7 linked regions of the Kluyveromyces lactis genome follow. The protein of the gene in region 5 binds, or shares a complex with, the protein of the main gene of each other region. Links are inferred from orthologs where the notes say so. Each region holds a gene or a part of one and is shown on either strand. Other genes may lie near its edges. The genes, in order: FIP1, PFS2, SSU72, YTH1, PTI1, CFT1 and SWD2.

Region 1 (2,626 bases), on a different chromosome or scaffold from region 5:
CCAGAAAACCACAAACTTTGTTGAATCTTCTAAACGTAGTAGATATATACTCTGATGGTAAAACGGCAACTGGAAAACAAATGAGAAACTTTACTGATATGGTACTTTTCAGCGATTGCTTCAAACTCCTTTTTGCAAATGATGAAGTTATAAATTTTAACGCTGATTCTAATCTTTTAAAACAACAATGGGTTGAAATTTTGACCAGCGTTGTTGAACTGAATAAATTCCATCAACCATGGATCAAAAGAGTTTTTGAAAACGAACAATACAACATTACTTTTTAAACTGTTATAGTATTCAGATATATAGTTTGTCTTTGCCATTTTTTTTGAAGTATAGTATATTAATGTCATTTCTCTAATTATAACAAATGTCAACATGAGGTCTTTAAAACTAAGCTGTGTTACAATTCCATCAAGGAATCGAAAATACATGTACATGTCCGCTATATATCATTAATGTTGCTTGCAATCAATACGAGCCTCAAGCACTAAATTTCATTTCTTGTCGTTGAGATTATTATTGTTGTTGTTGTTAATGTTGTTCATGTTGTTCATGTTGTTCATGTTGTTCATGTTGTTCATGCTTGATACATTTTGATTTTGCATGTTATTCATCATACCCGGAAATGGAAATCCTGGGAAACCACCAAACATGGGGGGAAGTCCCATAGGCGGAGGAGGAGGTTGGATTGTATTCTGTACAGGTTGTCCTGAACCTGGATCATTTAACTTTCCTTGCTGCTGTAAAGCTAGGAGGTTCATCAAAATCTTTTGTGGGTTGTATTCTTTCGTCAAATGTTCTTGTCTATGTAAATATTCCATCCAAGTCTGTTCATTAAATCCATAATTGAAATAATCTGAAATATTCGCTCCTGGTTGTCTCCAGGGCTTCTCCTTTAGAATTTCTGGATCGATCTGTACTATAGGTTTCCCATCGAATTGTGCATCCGGGTTCAAATCAATAGTTTGTTGTTGCTGCTGCTGCTGTTCAGGTGGTATTGAACCCTCCTGTACAGGAACCACGTCCGATATACCAGCCACTGCTGCAATAGCATGATCCGCTGTACCAAGAGGCGTTGTGTCTGTTATAGCAGATATCTGGGACTTACCAGAATCTATCTTAGAGGTATCGTTACCAGTTCCGATGATAATCTCAACATCTGAATCTGAGTCACTGCTGTCATCCTCATCTGATGAACTATCCTGATTGGAGGCCTCACTCTCTACCTCATTCGTATTACCTTCCGGTACATCATGAGCTAGTATCTTGGGTGTTTCTTCGACCTTTTGTCTTTTCAATGCAGGACCCTCTTGCTTTGCGACTACGTTAGAATCCTCCTCATCGCTGTATAGAAACTTATCGTCTTCATCCTCACTGCTCATAACGATTCGTTTCTATATGTCGTTCGTGGACTGGTAGAAGATTTATCAATAAATGCTTGGAAAGTTTGGAAGGCTGCGCAACCCAAAAGGTATCTTAACAGGAAGATAGTTCTTCTTCTCATATAGAAATCAACTAATAGTTAACTCTCAATGCTAAGATTTACCAAAATGATGCTGTTAAATCGACGCATATCCGGGTAAATTATTGTCGTATTCAATGACAAACATTTCTAATGAATATCTGTCACCGGACAGCGGACAGCGACTCAGCTTGTTTGGACGGAATGTATAATATGGGTTAAATGTGTAGCTAATGAGAATACATGATTTACAGAAGAATTAGATGTGCATGTTGCGGACAGTATCGATTTCCGATGTTAACGAACTTGAAAGAATATGCGATGGTAAGAATTAAAGATATGGAAAAGTAACAAGGGAAACCAAAGAAAAAAGTGCATCTTATTGACGAAGCATAATACTTTGTCCTGTTTTTTCAGAGTAAAAGTGTGAATTAATTAAAAAAATTGACAGAAAACAACAGAGGAAACAAACATTACAGGCGAGTGAGTGTCTTTAATGTGTTGAAAAGAGTCAGACATTGTTGAGAATGAATGTTCAAAAAAGTCGATTGTAAACTGCAATTGAGAAGTGAATGTTCTTTTTTGAAGTGTTTATGGGACCTGTAAGGTTGACTAAACATGGTCACCTTGTGTCCGCACCCACAGAAACAAAGTAAAAAAAAAAATGGAAGGTAATTTGAAATGAAGTAGAGAATTAGAAAGGAATGAATGTAAGAAATATGATGAAGAAGGAAAAAAATATGCAGGTGTATCATACAGGCAGTCTATAGCAAAGGGGGAAAAATAATATCTGGATAAAAGGATGAGGATTGTTCCATCAAAAATACGTCTTGGAGAACTTGTAATCAATTTCTTGGAATCTAATCTTATCGAAATAATCCAAATCGTTAGAATCAGCCAAGAAATACCCAAAATAAGGTAGTAACTTGTTAGTTAGCGTGTAAACAAACTGATCCTTTTCCGAAACGACCGAATCTTTCTTTGAAGATGAAGAGGAGAACATGATGGGTGCCACCAATGCACGTTGCTGTTTTTTCTTCACTGGAGCCATGCACTGCAAGTCATTGTCCAAATCTTGCTCGTCTTCTTCCAGTAACACGTTGATACTTCTTGTAGAAGAGAAAACAGAACTGTGTCTTGTGTCAGCCAGTGAAGGTG
Region 2 (3,307 bases), on a different chromosome or scaffold from region 5:
CCATCCTCTTCCCGTGATAGATCTGATGCCATAGATGAAAATGTCCGAAAATCCAATATAATGACGTTGCACGAAAGTATCAATGATACTTATCTACAAACGTTGTAATCTCTTATACCATATGATTTGGCTATATTTATTAGAGTTTGAATGCCAGTGCTCCTTGCCAATTGATACACCAATTATAAAAAAAATATTAATGACGAAATGATATCTTATAAATTTAATGACCTTTTGACCGCCAGTTGATTAAGCGACTGGAATTGTAACGACCTCCTAACACTTTTTTGTTTTTATTTCTCGGTTCTTTTTAACACTTTTATATATTCAACAACTACTGATTCTTTTTTTACCTATTTAGTATAGTATTTTACTCGTTAACCTCTATTTTAGTTTATTCAATCGATACAGTCTACTTATTAATGATGAAGAAAAGGTAGATTTACATTTAATCTGCTTAAATAATATTGATGCTATAATTTCCATGACTTTCAATTGTCTTAAAAACTTAGGCCTGGTAATCCTGATCCCAAACCTGGTAAAGTACTGACAGATGGTCGCTCAGGTTCAACTGATCTGGAACCGTCGCCATTTTCATTATTATTGGAGTCTTCACTTGGTGGCAAAGCAACACCGTGTTCTGTTTTGTTTCTGACAGCATTAATGTTATTATTGATACCGAAGTACCAAGCATTAACTTTTTCATTGTTATATGTTGGATCATCAAAGGCGTTTGGATCGACTGCTCTCGATCTCGTCCAGAATCGAATAGTCCTATCTTTCGAGGCGCTAGCCATGATGTGACCAATTGGACTATATGCTAATGATGTAACACATTTTTCATGTGCATATGGAATGTTGTGTGTAGGTTTGTTTGGCTGATTTTCCTGGGATAGATCGAAATGTTTTATAGATCCATCATAGCATCCAACGGTAAACACTGTTTCATCGATTGGATGCCACTGTAATGTCATGTAGTCGACATCATCACGAACACTGAAAAGCTCTTTAGCCTGTTGTCGTATATCATATACCTTGCATGTTTTATCCTTCGAAATTACAGATAGTAAGTTTCCCTGTTTGGGTTGGAATTTCGTCGAGATGATAGTATGTTTAAAACCAAGCATGGTGGATACGCAGCTACCACTACGCGGATCCCAGAATTTGATAAGATTGTCTTTGGATCCTGATACGATTAAACCCATCTTCGGATGCCAGTCGCATGATTTGACGTCCCAATGATGGCCTGATAGCACCCTTTCTTGTTGTCCGTTGCTAAAGTTCCATATTTTCAACACATTATCATCAGAACAACTGACAAACTTCTGGTCGGTCGGACTAAACGATATTTCCCTTACACATTCCATATGTGCTTGGTCCATGACTTTAACCATATTAAAGTTTGGTTGCCAGATCTTAAGCTCCCCATCAGCGCTACCACTAACCATCCAATCCCCTGTATGTGAGTATGTCATCACGGTTACTGCACTATCATGAGCCTGCATAATACTTTCGAAATTGAAACTGGATCCACTCCATAATGAAAACTCTCCATTGTATGTAGCTACCACTAACCTTCTTCCTTCTGGCGTCCACGTAAGAGCCGGAATAACGTGCTTTACCTTATTTGATGAAAGATGCGTAAATTTGGTTGCTGTATTGATGGCATGCCCATGAAAACCATAGGCATCTGGCGGTAGTATATGAGCATTATATGAGGTTTCTGCCTCTATATATGACGAATTCTCCTGGCCATGCTTCTTCAAGAAATATAGTCTATCATAAGATGCAGAAATGTCAATTGTTCGTCTTTGCGATGTATACTTTTTAGTTGTGGTGCCCTCGGTATTAGGATCCATGCTATGTCTTTTTCAAGCTGAGACCAGGCTGTGTTGAAATTTCTGAGAACAGTATGAATAGTAGTTCACCTAAGTTTCGTAATGTGAAACGTTGGCCGTGTCTTTTGATACATGTTTTATGCATTTCCTACCTCTCAATATCATTAAATGCAAGTAATATTCTGATTTCGGTAGTTTTTGATGCCAGCTCGATGTTGAAGTTGCTTCAAGTAAAGAAAAAAAAATAGATCACGTGCAGCAGACCTTAAGCATAAGAATGAAGCTGATTCAATTACTTCTGTAGTATGGATTTAAAATACATATGTCCGTTAAGAAGTAGGAGCGATTCCCCTATTATATATAAGTAAATAATTTCCATGCGCGGCACGATATTCATATCTGTTGAGCTTGAGTAATTTATAAGTACTCTCTATGTCCTTTGATAATTTTCGGGTAGAGCATCCAAACTATGTTGAATGCCAAAGAACCAAGGAAGCATAGAAATGGATAGTATTGGAACCCAAAAATCTTGTTTGCAAACCCAAAAGAGTATGTTATTAATGCACCACCACACCCTCCGAAAGCGATTGCTGTACCAATACCACTAACTTGTTGATGTTTCGGTAGGATTTGGATTGCAACAACACTTGCGTTAGGGAACAAGGGACCTATGAAGATACCAGCGCCAAAGATCATCAACGATAAAACAAAGAAATAGAATGTCGATGTGGAATTGATTAGATTGATGATAACGAATAGGAAAAAAAACAATGAACAAGTCAAACCGTACCAAACGCTTGACCTGTATTCATTTTTGAACCTTTTTGTAACAAAACCAAGACCTAATCTACCGATAGTGATCCCAGACCAGAATGACGCAGTAACAAATGACATAAGGAACTTCTCACCTTTCTTATAATTCAACAAATATGTGAATAGCCATGTCCCAACACCAATTTCTGTACCTAAGTACAAGAATAAGAAAAATGCATACAAGAAAATCATCGGAGGATACTTCGATAACTGGTACCATTTTATCTCTTCCTCATTTTCAATACCACCTGATTCATCGGGGACTCCTACACAGATGTATCTGTATTTGGTAGCAGTTTCGTATTTAAAGGCCCCCATGCAGAGTGCCAACCCCACAAGAGCAAACACCAAAGGGACCCAAAAGATATAAGACCAATCCAAATAATGATCGAAGGTTGTAACTAATGGTGGGGTTACACCAGCGGCCAACCCGTATATTCCATGAAGCAAACCCATCCATTCATTCTTTCTAGTCTCTAAATTACCAAAGTAGAAATTACCTGTAGAGTCAACAAACCCAACACACATACCTAGCGGAAAGAAGCATATCGCATAAAGATAGAGCGAATATGGTTTTAGGGCAAGAACCAAGTAGGTAAATGCAGCAAGTATACATGATGCTGTCATTACGCCTCGAGACCCCCATTTTTTATGCA
Region 3 (2,472 bases), on a different chromosome or scaffold from region 5:
TCTGATGTTTCCGGTGGTTTTACAGTCAGTATTTTGGAAAATGCTAGGCAAGCTTTACTAGTTTCCAGACATCGAGCAATGTCAGTAGAAGATCCTGAAAGAAAAGAGGAATGCAAACTATCTGTCGCCGAAGTATTGTATCTAGCTACCATGGGTGGTGCTAAAGTTTTAAATCTGTCTGATAAAATTGGTAGTTTCGACGTAGGGAAAGAGTTTGACGCACAATTGATAGATTTATCCACCAAAGGAAGCAACGTATCCATTTTTCCATGGCAAAAAGTTACCAACGACAAAATTCAACCGAACGGGAAGGATAGAATCAAACTGGAGAATATTGTGGCAAAATGGTTATTTAATGGTGATGATAGGAATGTTAAAAGTGTTTGGGTCCGTGGAAAATTGTGCCATCAAAATCTTTAACTAATCGTTAGCTTACAATTCCATCGAAATAAGTATGCAAAACAAGAATAGCATGATATATAACTCAAGATGAAATAGAACTAATAATATGCAGCAGAATAAGTTAGTGGTAGTTTTGGATATTTCTCTTGCCATTCAGTGAAGACATCCATTATAAAATCCTCAAATTGAGTTCCGTTTTTCTCACATTCAAAAACTTTATCTCTTAGCATATCTGCCAATCTTAATATTGCTCGCCCACCAATTTTAGCGTTTTCATTATCATCTTTGATATCGATATTGATAATATGTGCAATTAGATTAAGCTGACCACCTCTATTCATCAGGTCCTCGCACACAGAGTCGAAACACCTTTCTTCACAGGTAAAAACGAAATCAAAAACCTTTCTCCCATCGTGCCATTTCTCAGGAGCTTTTTTTAACTTCCTGTTACGATCTAACATTTCTAATACACCATTTTGCTTGTATCTATCTTCACTTTGAGAAATCAAGTCATTATATATATCATCATAAGGCGTACCAAATGAATACACATTTGGTTTATCTATCGAGAGACCTGGAAGTCTAACTGCACTTCCAGTACCGTAACTAGAAACATCATACCCTGCCTCTTCCAATACCCTATGGGACTCCATGGACCTGTTGTTGTTAGATGCACACACAGTACAGAACTTAAGCCCGCTATTTCTCATTGATTCGCTCATGCCTAATAGTTCCTCTTAGATTCGTAATAACTTTTAGTCAAATTATCTATTCTGGTAGCACTAAGCAGACAACACTGTATGAAAATGAGAGTTATAATAATTGAATATGAAATGCAAGTATGGGCTGTCTACCATTTCGGTTACCAATTATGAATATCTTGTAACTTTCATTGAAGCTCTTAACAAAGTCAATTTTATCAATGTGCAGCTAGATAATAATATTACCCGGAAATGCGACGCTTGTAATAATCTTAATAGAATTATAGATTGGTAATTAGTATAAGTTCAAGGTCACTTCCGTTACACCCGATTACCAAAGCCTGTCCTTATTTGTGGCTGAATTAGGTGCTTGACAGCCGAAGGATCCATATTATATAATGATACTAATATTTAATATAATATCTTAAACAAAGAATGAGGAAGATACAGCAGTCAGCAGGAGGATGAATCCTCGACAAGAACTTGTTCAACTTCAGGATCAGCTGGATCTTCGCAGACGATTATTCGCTGGCTTTTGCATTTAACATCTTCAAATTCTTCATCTTTTGGTTGCGGGGAGGACATTTGTTTGCCAGAAACTAATGTTCCAACATCAACGTATTCTCCAGTGTCCTGTATGTCTGACTCCAATGAGTGAATAGAATCAGAACCGACAGACATATTGGCACTTTGATATAAATCATTTTCTGGCCTGGTTGTCAAAAATTGAATAATTTGACTATCTCTGAAATAAGTATGAAACTGATCCCATTCATTCTTACCTGAAATTAACATACCGAGTAACATTGACGGATCTGTTTCTGATATATGCAATTTGTTGAATTTGTGTCCGTGACAACTTCGGTAAAATTCAAGATCATCCATCATTAAAGAAGATTGCTGAGTGTTGTGTGGATCAAGGTAGAAAAGATTTTCATTTTGATATCCAAAAAAGTATAATGATGACGAGGGTTTACCGCCTGCGATCCCGACAGAATATGGTGATGAGAGAATCTTGAATATGTCTTTCCAGTATAAGCTGTTGATTTTGTCAACACCCAACCTGACAGCAAACAGCAGAAGTAAATTAGCATCCCTATCCTTATGAAAAATTCTTGTGACCTCATCTTCGTATATATCTGCCGACTGAGTTGAAATTATACAATTCTTAATTCCACAAAGGGGAAACCCTTCAATCAATGTTTTTATGCTTCTGGCTGTTGCGCTTGGCCCAAACCACTGCCCAGGTTTCATTCCAGATATTTTCTCTTCTGCTTTGACAAAGTTGTGTAACGACAAAGGATATTTGACATCGTCTTGAAACCAACGGATCAGATTTAACTCATTATCATCTATTCTTGAAGCATTT
Region 4 (2,604 bases), about 1.1 Mb from region 5:
AGGTACCGGTCGACAGCCTTGCTGTGATGCGAGACTGCCATCCCAGTAGCTGGCTAGTGCCAGTTATAGGTGTATTAGAAAACTGACTTCAAGAACTCACGCTGTTGCCTGGTGTACATTCATGCGTCCGCTCTCAGGGTTAATGCTTATCAGTATTGCAAGAAAAAAAAGAAACCGAAAGAAACTGTGGAATGGAGTGTTCTATACTGGGGAATATGTCGACCGCGTGTCCATAAATGAAACTCAGCGAATGATTTTGGCTGAGAGGTCTGATACCTATTGGATAAGCAATTTAAGGTATGTGAGCCTTGGTTCCCTTAATTTTTCAGGTGTGTTGCTTTTGCTGTCGGTTGATAGAATTATCCGGCTGTAACATTGTGTAGTATTATGTTACTTAGTATCTGTATCTGTATCGAATTACGTATGGTGAGCTGAATAGTGAATAGTGACAGCAGCAGTGGCTGAGAACGAACGCACTGATGAAAACTGAAAAAATTCAGTCACGTGACTAGGATGTCACCGTTGATAATGGCATTCAAGCGTCTTTCCCTTTCCTCATCCATCTTTCTTGTATTAATATGCTCGTCTTTCTTGATGCGCAGTTTGCTGTGTTCTGAAGGTACTTTGAATTTGGGATGCGACCAGTCGCAATCTTTACCCAGTGGACAAAACCCTACCAAGTATCTGGGGCAAAGTACCTTTTTGACATGTTTCTTCGTGCATGCAGGTCCCGATGGACAGAACCCCATATTATAATCCTCACATTCTTCTAACTGACTCTTGTGATCTACGTGCAAGTATTGACACTCCGGTGATTGTGTACAGTACCCGTTCTTGGTGAAGAATACACACTCGGGCATCTTTCTTAGGTTATACTCGTGTAAATATTCACATTGATCGTTCTTCTTGCAGAGACCTCGGAGCCAGTGCTTACAAACAATCTTGTTCTGAAATATCGGTAGCACATGCTTGTTTGGACAGCGTGCTCCGTTGGGACAGGATTTTATCCCCTCTCTTGAATTATAGTATTGGCATACCGGTCTATCTGGATCTAACGAGAACGAATATTCTTTCCGTAGAAATGGCTCGAAATTAAACTCGTACTTCGAGGTATCTGGATGAACTATACTCATTAGTTTAAACTCCCTTATCTCCTTGACAACCCAGTCTAATGTAGCCTACCAGTCGTTTATGAAAATGTCTTTGATGATTGGTAATTAATCATGTTACAAGCGAGTTACACACAATAATTATTTTACTAATTCTTAAATATAACGTTATAGGATATTCTGGGTTTTCACATGAGAAAAAGTCACGTGAACTGAATAAGGTAGCGTTCTCGGAACCAATCAGACGTTAAGTGCAGCTAGCACAAATGTCAAGATGAATGAGACTTTGAAGCTGGGTTTGTCCCAGATCAATGTGTTCAAATCAATCCTCTCACGGCCGATGGTCACAACGTATTTGGAAAGAGAACGAGTGCTGTCACTGCTGATAACTCCCCTGTTCTGCAAGAATTGTAACCCAACGAATCCAACCCCGGTGATGAACACGAGAAGACTTGATATCTTACCAAAGATAACACCGAACACTAGACCTAAAATTGACCCGTAGCACATTTGTCTGTAGTTGACTCTTCTTTGCTTCGAACTTATATCAACACGGCTTGGCAATCCAAGCTCTTGTGGTAGATTCGTTCTTTGCTTAACATCAACAATTGAATCGTTCATGATATATGAGCTTGGTTGCATCGAGTGCAACAACGATCCACCACCGACTAATAAACTACCGCTGAATCCAACATAAACACTTCTTCTTAATGGCACGCCAAGGTTTCTTGCTGCTGTTCTGAACATCTTTCCTAATTCTTTACCTATTATGTCGATTGGTCTGTCTTCACTCGAGGATATAAAACACAATTCTGAGTTGAACTAAATGAGACTGATTTCTAACCGAATTTCTTCGTTATCGAAAGATTAAATTATAAACAGTGATTTTGTCTACGAATTGTCGTTTTCTTAACTCAATAGCAATTTGCACGTACTTCTCAATATTTCTTTATATAGCCATACTGACGATGGAGCCTGCGACCCTTTTTTTTCAACCGATGTTGAAATTTAAGAATCATACAAAACCCAACATGCTGAAAAGAATAGGATTTGGGTGACAGTCATTATAAAAAAGAATATATAGAATTGTCAGTTAGAAAGTGATAAGCGGCAAGTTATCAGTCAAGTAGTACCTTTATTACTATTTTATATGTAAATTAAGGCCTCCTATTTGGGTTGGAAATCATTTGTCGTTTACTGATATATACGGAAACAATTCTATGTTCGGTGAAAAAGACGCGTAGATATAAGTATATACATAACTTTTACCGTGATGATGATGATAATGAAGACGATAATAATGATTTGGTGATGGTGAGTCCGTAAGGATGATAGTGGTCACTTTTTTTCAACTTTCTGCGATCTTCAACTTCGAAACGTAATCCTCTAATTGTTTCCAGTTCATTTCCCTCTCTTTTTGACGTCTGTTGTTTTCTTTCAAACTAGATATGTAAAGTGCGTTGCAATTTTCGTATAAGACATTGTTCGTTTCAAG
Region 5 (3,237 bases):
CGGCACTGATGATACCTGATATAACATACTGAAAACAGAAACGGATTACTGCAAGAGAGGACTTGACAAGTTTTTCTTTTTACACACGCACATAAACAAATATCTATCTAATCTCTCCAAAGGATCCTGACACAAAGTGCTCCGTGTTGCTGTGGAGGGCGGCAGCTACCGCCAAAACATTCGAATAGTAGCCCAATCGTTTCGGCATTTCTTTCCCTTTGCGCTTTCCTTAGACATTTCCCTCGACGTTCGTTTCCCTTCATTTCGCCGCATGCATTTGACATCTTCCTGTTTTGAAATGTCGGTTATTTCAGCTTTTTCCATTTTCAGTTTCCTGTATGAGCCAAGTCGTTAAAGAGGAAAACTTGCGCGCGGAACTTTTAGGTTGGGAAACACGGTGGTATACACTATAGATAGAAAGAAAGCCTTCGAGCCATTATGGATGACTAAGAGATAGGAATTGTGCTATGTATTTTTCTTGTTATTGCTATTATTATTATCTATAGAAGGTAGTCGTTTTTGAGTTGCTGTATTAGTTGTTGCTGGCCTGGTGGAAGAGCCATTATGTTCGTTATGGGCATCGAAAGCGCAGTTCTGATCATGTTCTGTTGATCTTGCGGCAGTAGCGAAAGTTTTGCCTCGTTGAACTGCTGTGGGGTGTTGGCAGCGTTGGTTGTAGCGGTGGTGGTAATATCACCACCAGTACCGTTACCACCGCTGTTAATGCCTTGAGCCGTCTGGGGTACAGACGGCTCAGGTAGTTGAACTGGCGGCAGAGTTGGTACTGTAGGCGCGGCTGCGGCAGGCGTGGGTCCAACAGAATGTTGGCCCTGCATTTGGCCTAGAACATTTGATATCACGTGATAGTTTATCAACCCCATTTCTAGCATTGCCTGAGTGACAGCTACCGTTAAGTCAATGTTAGTCTTCAAGAATTGTTCCAGTTGTGGCTTCTTGTTATGCTGGTTGGCTAAGATCTTCAAGTTTGATAGAATCTCGATCATTTGTAACGTAGGAATCTTCGATAGATTTTGAGATACCACATCCGGTGCAGTCATCGAGCCCGGTTGGTATGCTGGTAGATGCTTTGATGCCCGTGCTAAGATCTCTGGGATCTCTATCTGCTGTGCCGGTGCCTCGTTCGCCTTCGAGGCAAGGTTATCCGAGGCAGCATTCGTAGATGCAGTGTTATTCTCCGAGGATAGTGTGCTTCCTGCGTCACTTGTTATTGGTTGCACCACCGGCAACGGCTTTCTTGGTAAAGGTACCTCACTTACCATTTCAAACGGTAGTTCTAATTTGTAATCCCAGGGAAAATTGTCTCTTGTGAACTCTAACGGTTTCAGTTGGTCTATTTTCTCTAACTTTTCTTTCCAATCTTTGGGAATCACCATGGACATCCTACATGGGAAATGGTTTATCTTATTTATTGAATTTTGGGCCCTATTGGCGGAGGAAGAGTCCCTGAAATCTACATCTACCCATTCAAGACATCCTCTTTCACTTCCAGCTCCAGCTCCAGCTCCAGTTCCTTTTCCCCCTTCTCGTTCTCCTGCTTCTTCGACCTCATCCACGTATTTCTCTCTAACGTCAACTATATATCCAGAACCAGTTATCACAGATGTGAAGTTATCCTTGTTCCACTGAGCAGGTATGTCAGTAAAACGTATGGTAGATGAAAGATTGTGCGGGGTCAGTTCATGCCTGCTTTTCCTAGTACGAGGATCCTTCTGTGGGTCATGCATACTTTGACTGTGTTTAGTTAGAAACCAACTTAAGAGTATTTCACCGTTTCGATATATATATGTATTCTCTAAATTGCAAACTTGTTATCGCAAATATCTGACTGGTGTCTAGTAACTAGTATTATTTTGCCTCACAATGAATCGTTACGAACATACATAATTACATATTCATTCTTTCTAGTCGACAGCAGATTTCTTAATTCATTAGTATGGCCGTTAGTCTTTAACGATGCTTAGAATCTTTTTAAGTTAACATTCATATAAGAACAATATCCGGGTAATAATTGATTATATATCACGTGCCAACTGATGTTTCTTTTGTTTTGTATTTCTTAGATTTACATGAAATCGAAAATCAGGAAGCCTTCGAAGTTAAAACGTAAAGATATGATTGATGAATAAGAAACTGTTCTGTCCACATCCAATATCAGCCAGAGTATTGTTAATCAAGCCTCTACTATTTAAGAAAATTGTTCTAAGGATCTACTCTCGTGGTTTGTTATCTAGACAAGAAGACAGTCTGATAAAAAAAGCATTGCGCATCGGTTCTTATATAAGCATCGTGAACCTAGGAAATTTGTTTAGAGAATTTGTCTGTGAGAATTCTAGTTTAACTGGTGGATAGTACTATACTTTATTATCATTTCCAAGAAACGTTTCCATTTATCATATTTATGACAACGATTTGGTGTTCTCCGTTTTCAAGTTAGATATATCAAATTAAATCGAACTGAACTGAAAGGAACAGTAATATATCCGTCATCCCGAAAACATACCCCCTGTGATTTATTAGCTAGGTATTGATAAGAGGATTCATCAGAGAATAACAGAAGACATAGTCATTGATCTTGTTTGACTGTATCTCAATTTTGAATCAGTCTCTTTTTTTTTGATTTTGTTTTGCGTTATTTTCACGTAAAGGTGGAAAAGAGGTAGTTAATTATTCTTGTTGAGTTGCCAAAACTGTTGTGGTCCAAACAGAGATCAGAGTCTGATTCAGATATTTCCCTTCATCTGAGAAAAAGGAAACAGAGGGCTGCAAGAATAATGAGTAAGCTGAGCAGGAAGTATCATTTGCCCTATACAAGAGCCATCATTGGCGAAAATGGTTTATTGATTAAAGATCAATTTACGTCCGGTCCTTCAACAAGCTCATCGACGCTTTTGGCACGCAGAAGTAATGGAGGTGATTTCGGCGATGACGAGGATGACGAAGACGGCGATGCTTCTGGGAGCTTCCAATCTAGTGTTTTTGAAACAGCTTCGTTAATCAGTTGTGTTACTTGTCTCAGCGACACGGAATCTAAAGATGAGAATGAAGCTCTGCTGCTACCTTCAAATACGGTTATTCCTTACGCAAAGATTCTTGATGTCACGAATATGGAAGCAGAAGATGATGGTTCCCCATGGCCGGATCATACTGCATTGATTGAAGTCACTTTTGCAAAGCCAAGGAGGAACCATTTAGTCCCAAAAACAATAAAATTGAGCG
Region 6 (4,176 bases), on a different chromosome or scaffold from region 5:
TTCATGGAAGCTCCCTTGGACTTCAATAACGCCTGCAGGTAACAAACCAGCTTTGTTTTTCCTCGTTAACGCTTCGTATGCACCAATGTCTATAATTACAGCGCCTTGACTGACGAGTCCATGAAGCATCCAGAATTGTCTGTTCTTCAAGTGATGATGATTACTATTGGCAATAAACCTAGTATGAAGAGGAACATGATTATTAACTAAACTTTGCATCTCAGTGAGTTGTAGGTCAGCCAAATCTTGTGTAAGTTCATTCACGCCATCGTCCCTTTCCTGCATGTAGAGAACAATTTTGGAAATGTTTTCTGGAGTGTCGCTCTTCATAATGATGGTATGGACACCAGCATTGGTTGCTAATTCTGCCGCAATAAGCTTAGTCTTCATACCACCAGTTCCAACATCTGATCCAGATCCACCGTCTGTGTTCACACCTGGCAATCCTTGTGATATATCTGGAACAACCAAGATAGGTTTTGCATCGGGATTTGCTCTTGGATTATCAGTGTATAAACAGTCAACATCTGTCAATAAAAATAGATAATCAGCACCAGTCAACGCTGCTGTGATAGCTGATAATGTATCATTATCACCAAATTTGATTTCGCTCACAGATAAAGTGTCATTCTCATTAACGATTGGCACTACTCCCATGGAAAGTAATTCACTAATAGTATTCTGTGCATTCTTATACTGAGTCCAATCAACAATGTCATTTCGAGTAATTAGGATTTGAGCAATTCTCTGATCAAATTCAGAGAACAAGGAATCCCACCTCCCAATTAATCTGCCTTGGCCCACAGCTGCGATTGCTTGCACCTTGGATAGTTTCTTTGGCCTTCCCTTCATATTCATCGTTTTCAATCCGACGGCGATACCTCCACTAGATACAATGATAACTTTGTGTCCTCTTCTGCGTAACTTTACCACAGTCTCCACAATCAATGACATGATAGAAAGTTTTGGTTCTTTGGTCTCTTCATCAACTAGTGATGAAGATCCCAATTTTATGACTATGACGAACTGCTTTACCATCTGAACTTGTTGGAAAACGTTCTTCTTCTCGCGGTCCGTAGAAACCTTTGGTTACAGAAATTTCAGGCCAGATTGACTAATAGCTGCTGCTCACAGACAGTACACTATGTTTATATCTGTTTTGCAGATGCAGTTATTCATCTTTTCAAATGGTCTGCAGATGTCATCGAAACATTTACTTTCAGTTTCTGTGAATTTTTAAATATTCACCGGTTCTTCAAAATATAGGTAACTATCATTACTAAGAACACTGGAAACAGACGAGCGTAGGTGGGCATACTAGCACTCTTCAGTCACACCTGAATCTGAAACGTTTAAATATCGGGGATAGATAATAAATGAACGTTTTTGACGAGATATTGCAACCCACTGTGGTTAATAAATGCTTACATGGGAATTTTACGTCAGCGGAAAGGGAAGAATACGTTGTTGCAAGAACCAATGTTCTCTCTGTATTCAGGGTCTCGCGAGCACAAAAGCTTGTACTTGCATATGAATGGAAACTAGCAGGTAAAATCATAGATATGCAATTACTGCCCCAAATTGGATCGCCTCTTAAGATGCTTGCAATACTTTCGTCGAAATCCAAAGTATCGTTGGTAAGGTTTGACCCAGTGGCAGAGAGTCTTGAAACACTAAGTCTGCATTATTATCACGACAAATTTGTCAATTTAAGCACTTCTTCTTTGAAGACGGAGTCCATTATGGCAGTGGATCCATTGTTTAGATGTCTTCTGGTTTTTAATGAAGATGTTTTAGCTATATTGCCATTGAAACTGAACACAGAAGATATGGAAATTGATGAGGATGAGAACGGAATAAAAGAGCCAATGGCTAAACGCTTAAAAAGGAACCAAGGAATCACATCCGATAGTATAATAATGCCAATTTCTAGCCTTCACAAGAGTCTCAAGCATGTCTATGATATAAAATGGTTAAATAATTTCAGCAAGCCAACTGTGGGAATATTATATCAACCGGTACTTGCGTGGTGTGGAAATGAAAAAGTACTTGGAAATACTATGAGGTACATGGTTTTGAGTTTAGATGTCGAAGATGAAAAAACCACCGTGATTGCTGAGCTTGCAGATCTTCCGAACGACCTGCACACCTTGGTTCCACTGAAGAGGGGATATGTGTTGATTGGTGTCAATGAATTATTATATATCAGTGCATCTGGTGCACTACAATCGTGCATACGATTGAACACATTTGCAACGTCTTCAATCAATACAAGGATAACTGATAATTCTGACATGAATATCTTTCTATCAAAGAGTTCAATATATTTCTATAAAGCTTTGAAAAGACATGATTTGCTTATTTTGATAGATGAAAACTGCAGGATGTACAACATTATTACAGAATCAGAGGGTAATCTACTTACCAAATTTGACTGTGTACAAGTACCGATTGTTAACGAGATCTTCAAAAATTCAAGATTGCCGTTGTCGGTATGTGGTGATCTCAACTTAGAAACTGGCAGAGTTCTTATAGGTTTTCTCTCAGGTGATGCAATGTTTCTGCAACTTAAAAACTTGAAAGTGGCATTTGCAGCAAAACGACAACTTGTTGAAACTGTTGATGACGATGACGATGAATACAGTGCACTTTATGGAGAGTCTCAAAATAATACTCACACCAGAATCGTCGAAACACAAGAGCCTTTCGATATATCATTGTTGGACTCCATTTTCAATATCGGTCCTCTAACATCTCTTACTATTGGTAAGGTCGCATCTGTTGAACCAACTATTCAGAGACTTCCCAATCCTAACAAAGATGAATTCTCAATTGTAGCTACATCTGGAGTTGGGAGGGGATCTCACCTCACTGCATTGCATTCCACTGTCCAGCCCCACATAGAACAAGCCTTAAAATTCACAAGTGCGACCCGTATCTGGAATTTGAAAATAAAGGGAAAAGACAAGTATCTTGTGACTACAGACGCTGATAAAGAGAAAAGTGATGTATATCAGATTGATAGAAATTTTGAACCTTTTAGGGCGCAAGATTTTAGAAAAGACAGCAGAACCATCGGCATGGAAACTATGGACGACGATAAACGTATTTTACAGGTAACTTCAGGAGGATTATATCTATTTGATGTTGACTTTAAGAGGTTAGCAAGATTAACTATTGATATCGAAATTGTTCATGCGTGTATTATTGATCCATATATTCTATTCACGGATGCTAGAGGTAACATCAAAATTTATCAACTAGACTCTAAAAATAAAAAAAAATTCATCAAATTTAAGCTTCCAGAGGCTCTCAATGAAATTATCATCACATCTGGTTCCATTTTCAAGAGTAACATTTGCAACAAATTCCTACATGGATTGGAAAACTCTTCACAAGAACAGCTTCTCTTCACATTTGTAACGGGCGACAATCAGGTTATTTTCTTTACCGAAAAGCACAATGACAGGATATTTCAGTTAAATGGTGTCGATCAGCTAGAAGACATGCTTTTTATAAGTACGTATCAGATTCCTGAAGAAATGAACCCGGACCCATCAATAAAGCAAATCATGTTAAACAGATTGGGCCATCATAAGAAAGAAGAATTTCTAACTATTCTTACGTTTGGTGGGGAGATCTATCAGTACAAGAAGTCGACAAAGCACAGCGGTAAACTCTTAAAATGTAAATCCCATCCTCTAATTACCGGTGCTCCTAACAATGCATACCCTCAAGGAGTTAATAAAATAGAAAGGGTTGCTCATTACTTCCCTAACTACAATGGATATTCAGTAGTATTTATTACTGGTCAAGTACCATATATCATAATCAAAGAAGATAATTCGGTATGTCGGATATTCCGGATGACTAATATACCTATTGTCACAATGGCTAGGTGGGGTAAAAACTCTGTGATGTGCGTAGATAATATTAAAAATGCAAGAGTAATGAAATTAGATCCTGAATGTTATTATGGGAATACTCAGATTCTTAGAAAAATCATTATTGAAGATGTTGTTGAGGAATTTGAAACTTTAGGAAATATTGCGTACCATGAACGGACCGGAATGTATATCATCTCCTATACCAAATTCATCGAATATCAAGCTCTAAGTGAAGATGGTGAGCCCCTTGTAGGTTACGATCCAAGCAAACCAAATAGTACTGGGTATA
Region 7 (2,843 bases), on a different chromosome or scaffold from region 5:
CTTGTTCTGTTTACTTCCCTTCTCCTTTTCGATCTCTTTTAGGGTTTTATCAATGCCAATAGGTCGCAAACTTGAGTAGCCAAGAGATCTTATCAGCAATAGTGTCGATTTATCTAGAATGTTAATGGTATTGGAATCAGACACATCTCCGTCATTATTGGCAATTAAAGGTTTCTCACTATGGCAAGTATACGCCGCAAGAGGAATCAATCTCTTCCCAGGCTTGATCCGTCTCTTGGTATCTTTATCAATGTTCCAACTCACCGGTTTCCCTTTTCTGCTTGTCTTGCTTTGCAGAAGCTCTTTTCGTAGATTGTTTATCAAAGGAATGTTATTGAAATCGGATGGTGCAGAAGGTTGTCTGAAGGCATCAAGGCCATACATAAACTCTCCAAGCCCCATATCTTACTTGTAAAGCCTACTGTCTCCAAAAATATTTTGTGAACAGCCTCTTAATGTCTGTTATTGCCATTGACACAGTGGTGTTTAACAGGACACAAGTAAATCATGATTTAAAGGTTTTATTTTAAAAGAAATAGAAAAAGCATCAACAAAAATAAGGAGAGCTGTACTACTCACCAATTACCAGTAGTTAAACGCCGGCGTCTTGATGGCATTCACTCCAGTTATCTTATATTTGATATGAATTGATAGAAGACACTAAAAAGAACTGAATATTATATATTAGTATGTATGTTTGAATAAACGTTATTGGTGTAACTACAGGTTACGCTTTCTTTCCATATGATCCAAGAACTTGTCAAAAGGAGTCTGTTTCCTAAAATAAGCACTTCTTTCAGCCATGTTAGCCAACTTATCGAATAAGTATTCTCCCCAGTCAAGATACCGTTTAATATAATTCTTCAAGTCAGACATTTCATAAGCGACAACATAATTGTTACTTCTACGCAATCCAGCCAATACCATAGACAACAACGCTAAGTCAATACTGTAATGAACTATATCTTTAACCTGATTGGAATTTGATAAATGCAGTTAAGATTACCTTTTAGTTAGTAAATCAAAGTCCGTTGATGAAAACGGTGGTGTATCTAACCACCTTCTTCAAAAAAATGAACGGTACGTACACCCATGATTCTTATTACAAATCTCAAATATGTCAGTTCTTTATAAAGCCAGAGTAAGACCAGAAAGGCTCTATTTCTCTACCTGCAAGTGACTAACACTATTGATTTCTTTGACAGATGTCATTACAATTTCGAGGAACATTTAAATTTAAATAAAACTGTTAACACCATCAAGAAATATTACCAATTTGGAGACAAAAAGAGAAGCTCAACGGGACACCAGCGGTTTAGCAACAGTTCTGTGATTATCTAAAAGTTAGCTGAGAAAGGAAATATGACTGTTAGCATTTCCAAGAGCAATCTTCTACGATTTGAGCCTGTGAAGTCCTTCAGAGTTTCTGATAAAGAATTGGGACCTATAACTTCAGTGACATTTGATGACCATGGCCAGTACTTGTTGACTGCAACTGCTAGTGATAATATGCATCTATATGATGCAGTAAGTTGCAGGTTTTTGAATACCATCGCTTCTAAAAAATACGGATGTCATTCCGCAAAGTTTACACATGCGCAATCAGAATGTATCTATTCATCCACTATGAAATCGTTTGACATAAGGCATTTGAATCTTGAAACAAACACATACCTTAGATATTTCCAGGGCCATGGTGCTCTAGTGAGCGATATACAAATGTCCCCGTTGGATGATACTTTTTTGTCTGCATCGTATGACGAATCGGTAAGACTTTGGGATTTGAGAAGCTCCAAGGCACAGGCCCTTATACCAAGTTTAGTCCCCACATGCATTGCTTACGATCCAAGCGGGCTTGTGTTCGCCATTGGTAACCCTGAGAACCATGAAGTCGGTTTATATAACGTAAAACATTTGAAGGCGGGCCCATTTTTAGTTATAAATGTGGATCCAAGCTTTGATCAGTGGAATAAATTGGAGTTTTCAAACGATGGTAAATATTTGTTGCTTGCGTCGTCCGCTGGAAAACATTTGATCATGGATTCCTTCGATGGTACACAGTTATTTGAATTATCAGGAACTAAACCTTTCCCATTGAGAGAGTTCATGGATTCTGGATCCGCAACGTTCACTCCAGATGGACGCATTACATTGGGAACTGATTACACTGGGAAGATCGCGATATGGAACCACGCAGACTTCATCAGTGGTAGGACGCTCAAACCTCAAGGATTTATTAACGCCGCACCAAATACATGTCCCAGAACTATTGCATTCAATCCTAAATATAGCATGTTTGTCACTGCAGATGAAACTGTAGATTTCTACGTATATAACGAATGAATTATACTGGGATCTGGATATATGACTTCGAAGCCAGACTCTACCCAGAGCACCCATCTATTTAGGAATGGCACTCGACATCTCGATAACATTTCCATGTTACCGATGACACAAAGCTGCCTTTTAGGTCTGGTCATCGCGACATTTAATCTTCTTTCATCTTTCAAGAACCCAACCTCGAAATTCTCGTTACTTCTTACTAAAGATAGGATGATGCACTCCTTTTCTCTACCTTGAAATCCGTCTACGGTAGATATCTCAATTGCTTGATGCTTTTCATGGATGAGTTTTTTCAACAGCGATACTTGTGAATTATACGGGGAGATCACACCAATACTTTCTTCCGTAACACCAGCCTTTATCAACTGCTCAACGTGGTATAATGCCAAATATGCTTCATTTTCGTTGTATTTTGAAGAGACTAGGTGGAACTTATCGTCTGCATCGTTGTCATTTTCATCAGACCTTTCTGGAAAGTCGTCTCCCTCAGTATCTAACCA

What was found.
Region 1: PTI1 (region 5) and FIP1 share a complex: the UniProt entries of both Saccharomyces cerevisiae proteins name them as parts of the cleavage and polyadenylation factor (CPF) complex. The link is inferred for Kluyveromyces lactis from reciprocal best matches to the Saccharomyces cerevisiae genes PTI1 and FIP1.
Region 2: PTI1 (region 5) and PFS2 share a complex: the UniProt entries of both Saccharomyces cerevisiae proteins name them as parts of the cleavage and polyadenylation factor (CPF) complex. The link is inferred for Kluyveromyces lactis from reciprocal best matches to the Saccharomyces cerevisiae genes PTI1 and PFS2.
Region 3: PTI1 (region 5) and SSU72 share a complex: the UniProt entries of both Saccharomyces cerevisiae proteins name them as parts of the APT complex. The link is inferred for Kluyveromyces lactis from reciprocal best matches to the Saccharomyces cerevisiae genes PTI1 and SSU72.
Region 4: PTI1 (region 5) and YTH1 share a complex: the UniProt entries of both Saccharomyces cerevisiae proteins name them as parts of the cleavage and polyadenylation factor (CPF) complex. The link is inferred for Kluyveromyces lactis from reciprocal best matches to the Saccharomyces cerevisiae genes PTI1 and YTH1.
Region 6: PTI1 (region 5) and CFT1 share a complex: the UniProt entries of both Saccharomyces cerevisiae proteins name them as parts of the cleavage and polyadenylation factor (CPF) complex. The link is inferred for Kluyveromyces lactis from reciprocal best matches to the Saccharomyces cerevisiae genes PTI1 and CFT1.
Region 7: PTI1 (region 5) and SWD2 share a complex: the UniProt entries of both Saccharomyces cerevisiae proteins name them as parts of the APT complex. The link is inferred for Kluyveromyces lactis from reciprocal best matches to the Saccharomyces cerevisiae genes PTI1 and SWD2.

Annotation. Positions count from the first base shown.
Region 1 is NC_006041.1:534,517-537,142, reverse strand, and holds FIP1 (cleavage polyadenylation factor subunit FIP1), read right to left. Parts: upstream 1,389-2,626; coding exon 501-1,388; downstream 1-500. Other genes in the region: BUD4 (Bud4p), read left to right, coding at 1-287; transcription factor IME1, read right to left, coding at 2,286-2,626. UniProt on the Saccharomyces cerevisiae protein: Polymerase-regulating component of the cleavage and polyadenylation factor (CPF) complex, which plays a key role in polyadenylation-dependent pre-mRNA 3'-end formation and cooperates with cleavage factors including the CFIA complex and NAB4/CFIB.
Region 2 is NC_006041.1:644,318-647,624, reverse strand, and holds PFS2 (cleavage polyadenylation factor subunit PFS2), read right to left. Parts: upstream 1,860-3,307; coding exon 501-1,859; downstream 1-500. Other genes in the region: PFK27 (6-phosphofructo-2-kinase), read left to right, coding at 1-108; BSC6 (Bsc6p), read right to left, coding at 2,256-3,307. UniProt on the Saccharomyces cerevisiae protein: Integral and essential component of the cleavage and polyadenylation factor (CPF) complex, which plays a key role in polyadenylation-dependent pre-mRNA 3'-end formation and cooperates with cleavage factors including the CFIA complex and NAB4/CFIB.
Region 3 is NC_006040.1:1,644,774-1,647,245, forward strand, and holds SSU72 (RNA polymerase II subunit A C-terminal domain phosphatase), read right to left. Parts: upstream 1,125-2,472; coding exon 501-1,124; downstream 1-500. Other genes in the region: GUD1 (guanine deaminase), read left to right, coding at 1-420; cysteine protease ATG4, read right to left, coding at 1,557-2,472. UniProt on the Saccharomyces cerevisiae protein: Component of the cleavage and polyadenylation factor (CPF) complex, which plays a key role in polyadenylation-dependent pre-mRNA 3'-end formation and cooperates with cleavage factors including the CFIA complex and NAB4/CFIB.
Region 4 is NC_006042.1:760,494-763,097, reverse strand, and holds YTH1 (cleavage polyadenylation factor RNA-binding subunit YTH1), read right to left. Parts: upstream 1,134-2,604; coding exon 501-1,133; downstream 1-500. Other genes in the region: FUN14 (Fun14p), read right to left, coding at 1,350-1,856; protein phosphatase 2A regulatory subunit RTS1, read right to left, coding at 2,458-2,604. UniProt on the Saccharomyces cerevisiae protein: RNA-binding component of the cleavage and polyadenylation factor (CPF) complex, which plays a key role in polyadenylation-dependent pre-mRNA 3'-end formation and cooperates with cleavage factors including the CFIA complex and NAB4/CFIB.
Region 5 is NC_006042.1:1,903,985-1,907,221, reverse strand, and holds PTI1 (cleavage polyadenylation factor subunit PTI1), read right to left. Parts: upstream 1,746-3,237; coding exon 501-1,745; downstream 1-500. Other genes in the region: KLLA0_F20504g (sphinganine kinase LCB4), read left to right, coding at 2,793-3,237. UniProt on the Saccharomyces cerevisiae protein: Component of the cleavage and polyadenylation factor (CPF) complex, which plays a key role in polyadenylation-dependent pre-mRNA 3'-end formation and cooperates with cleavage factors including the CFIA complex and NAB4/CFIB.
Region 6 is NC_006039.1:880,506-884,681, reverse strand, and holds the start of CFT1 (cleavage/polyadenylation factor CFT1), read left to right. Parts: upstream 1-1,376; coding exon 1,377-4,176. Other genes in the region: PRO1 (glutamate 5-kinase), read right to left, coding at 1-1,038. UniProt on the Saccharomyces cerevisiae protein: RNA-binding component of the cleavage and polyadenylation factor (CPF) complex, which plays a key role in polyadenylation-dependent pre-mRNA 3'-end formation and cooperates with cleavage factors including the CFIA complex and NAB4/CFIB.
Region 7 is NC_006041.1:1,607,009-1,609,851, forward strand, and holds SWD2 (WD-repeat containing protein SWD2), read left to right. Parts: upstream 1-1,362; coding exon 1,363-2,343; downstream 2,344-2,843. Other genes in the region: MND2 (Mnd2p), read right to left, coding at 1-402; MCO12 (Mco12p), read right to left, coding at 721-972, 1,089-1,094; ATP-dependent 5'-3' DNA helicase HCS1, read right to left, coding at 2,325-2,843. UniProt on the Saccharomyces cerevisiae protein: The COMPASS (Set1C) complex specifically mono-, di- and trimethylates histone H3 to form H3K4me1/2/3, which subsequently plays a role in telomere length maintenance and transcription elongation regulation. Involved in mediating RNA polymerase II termination.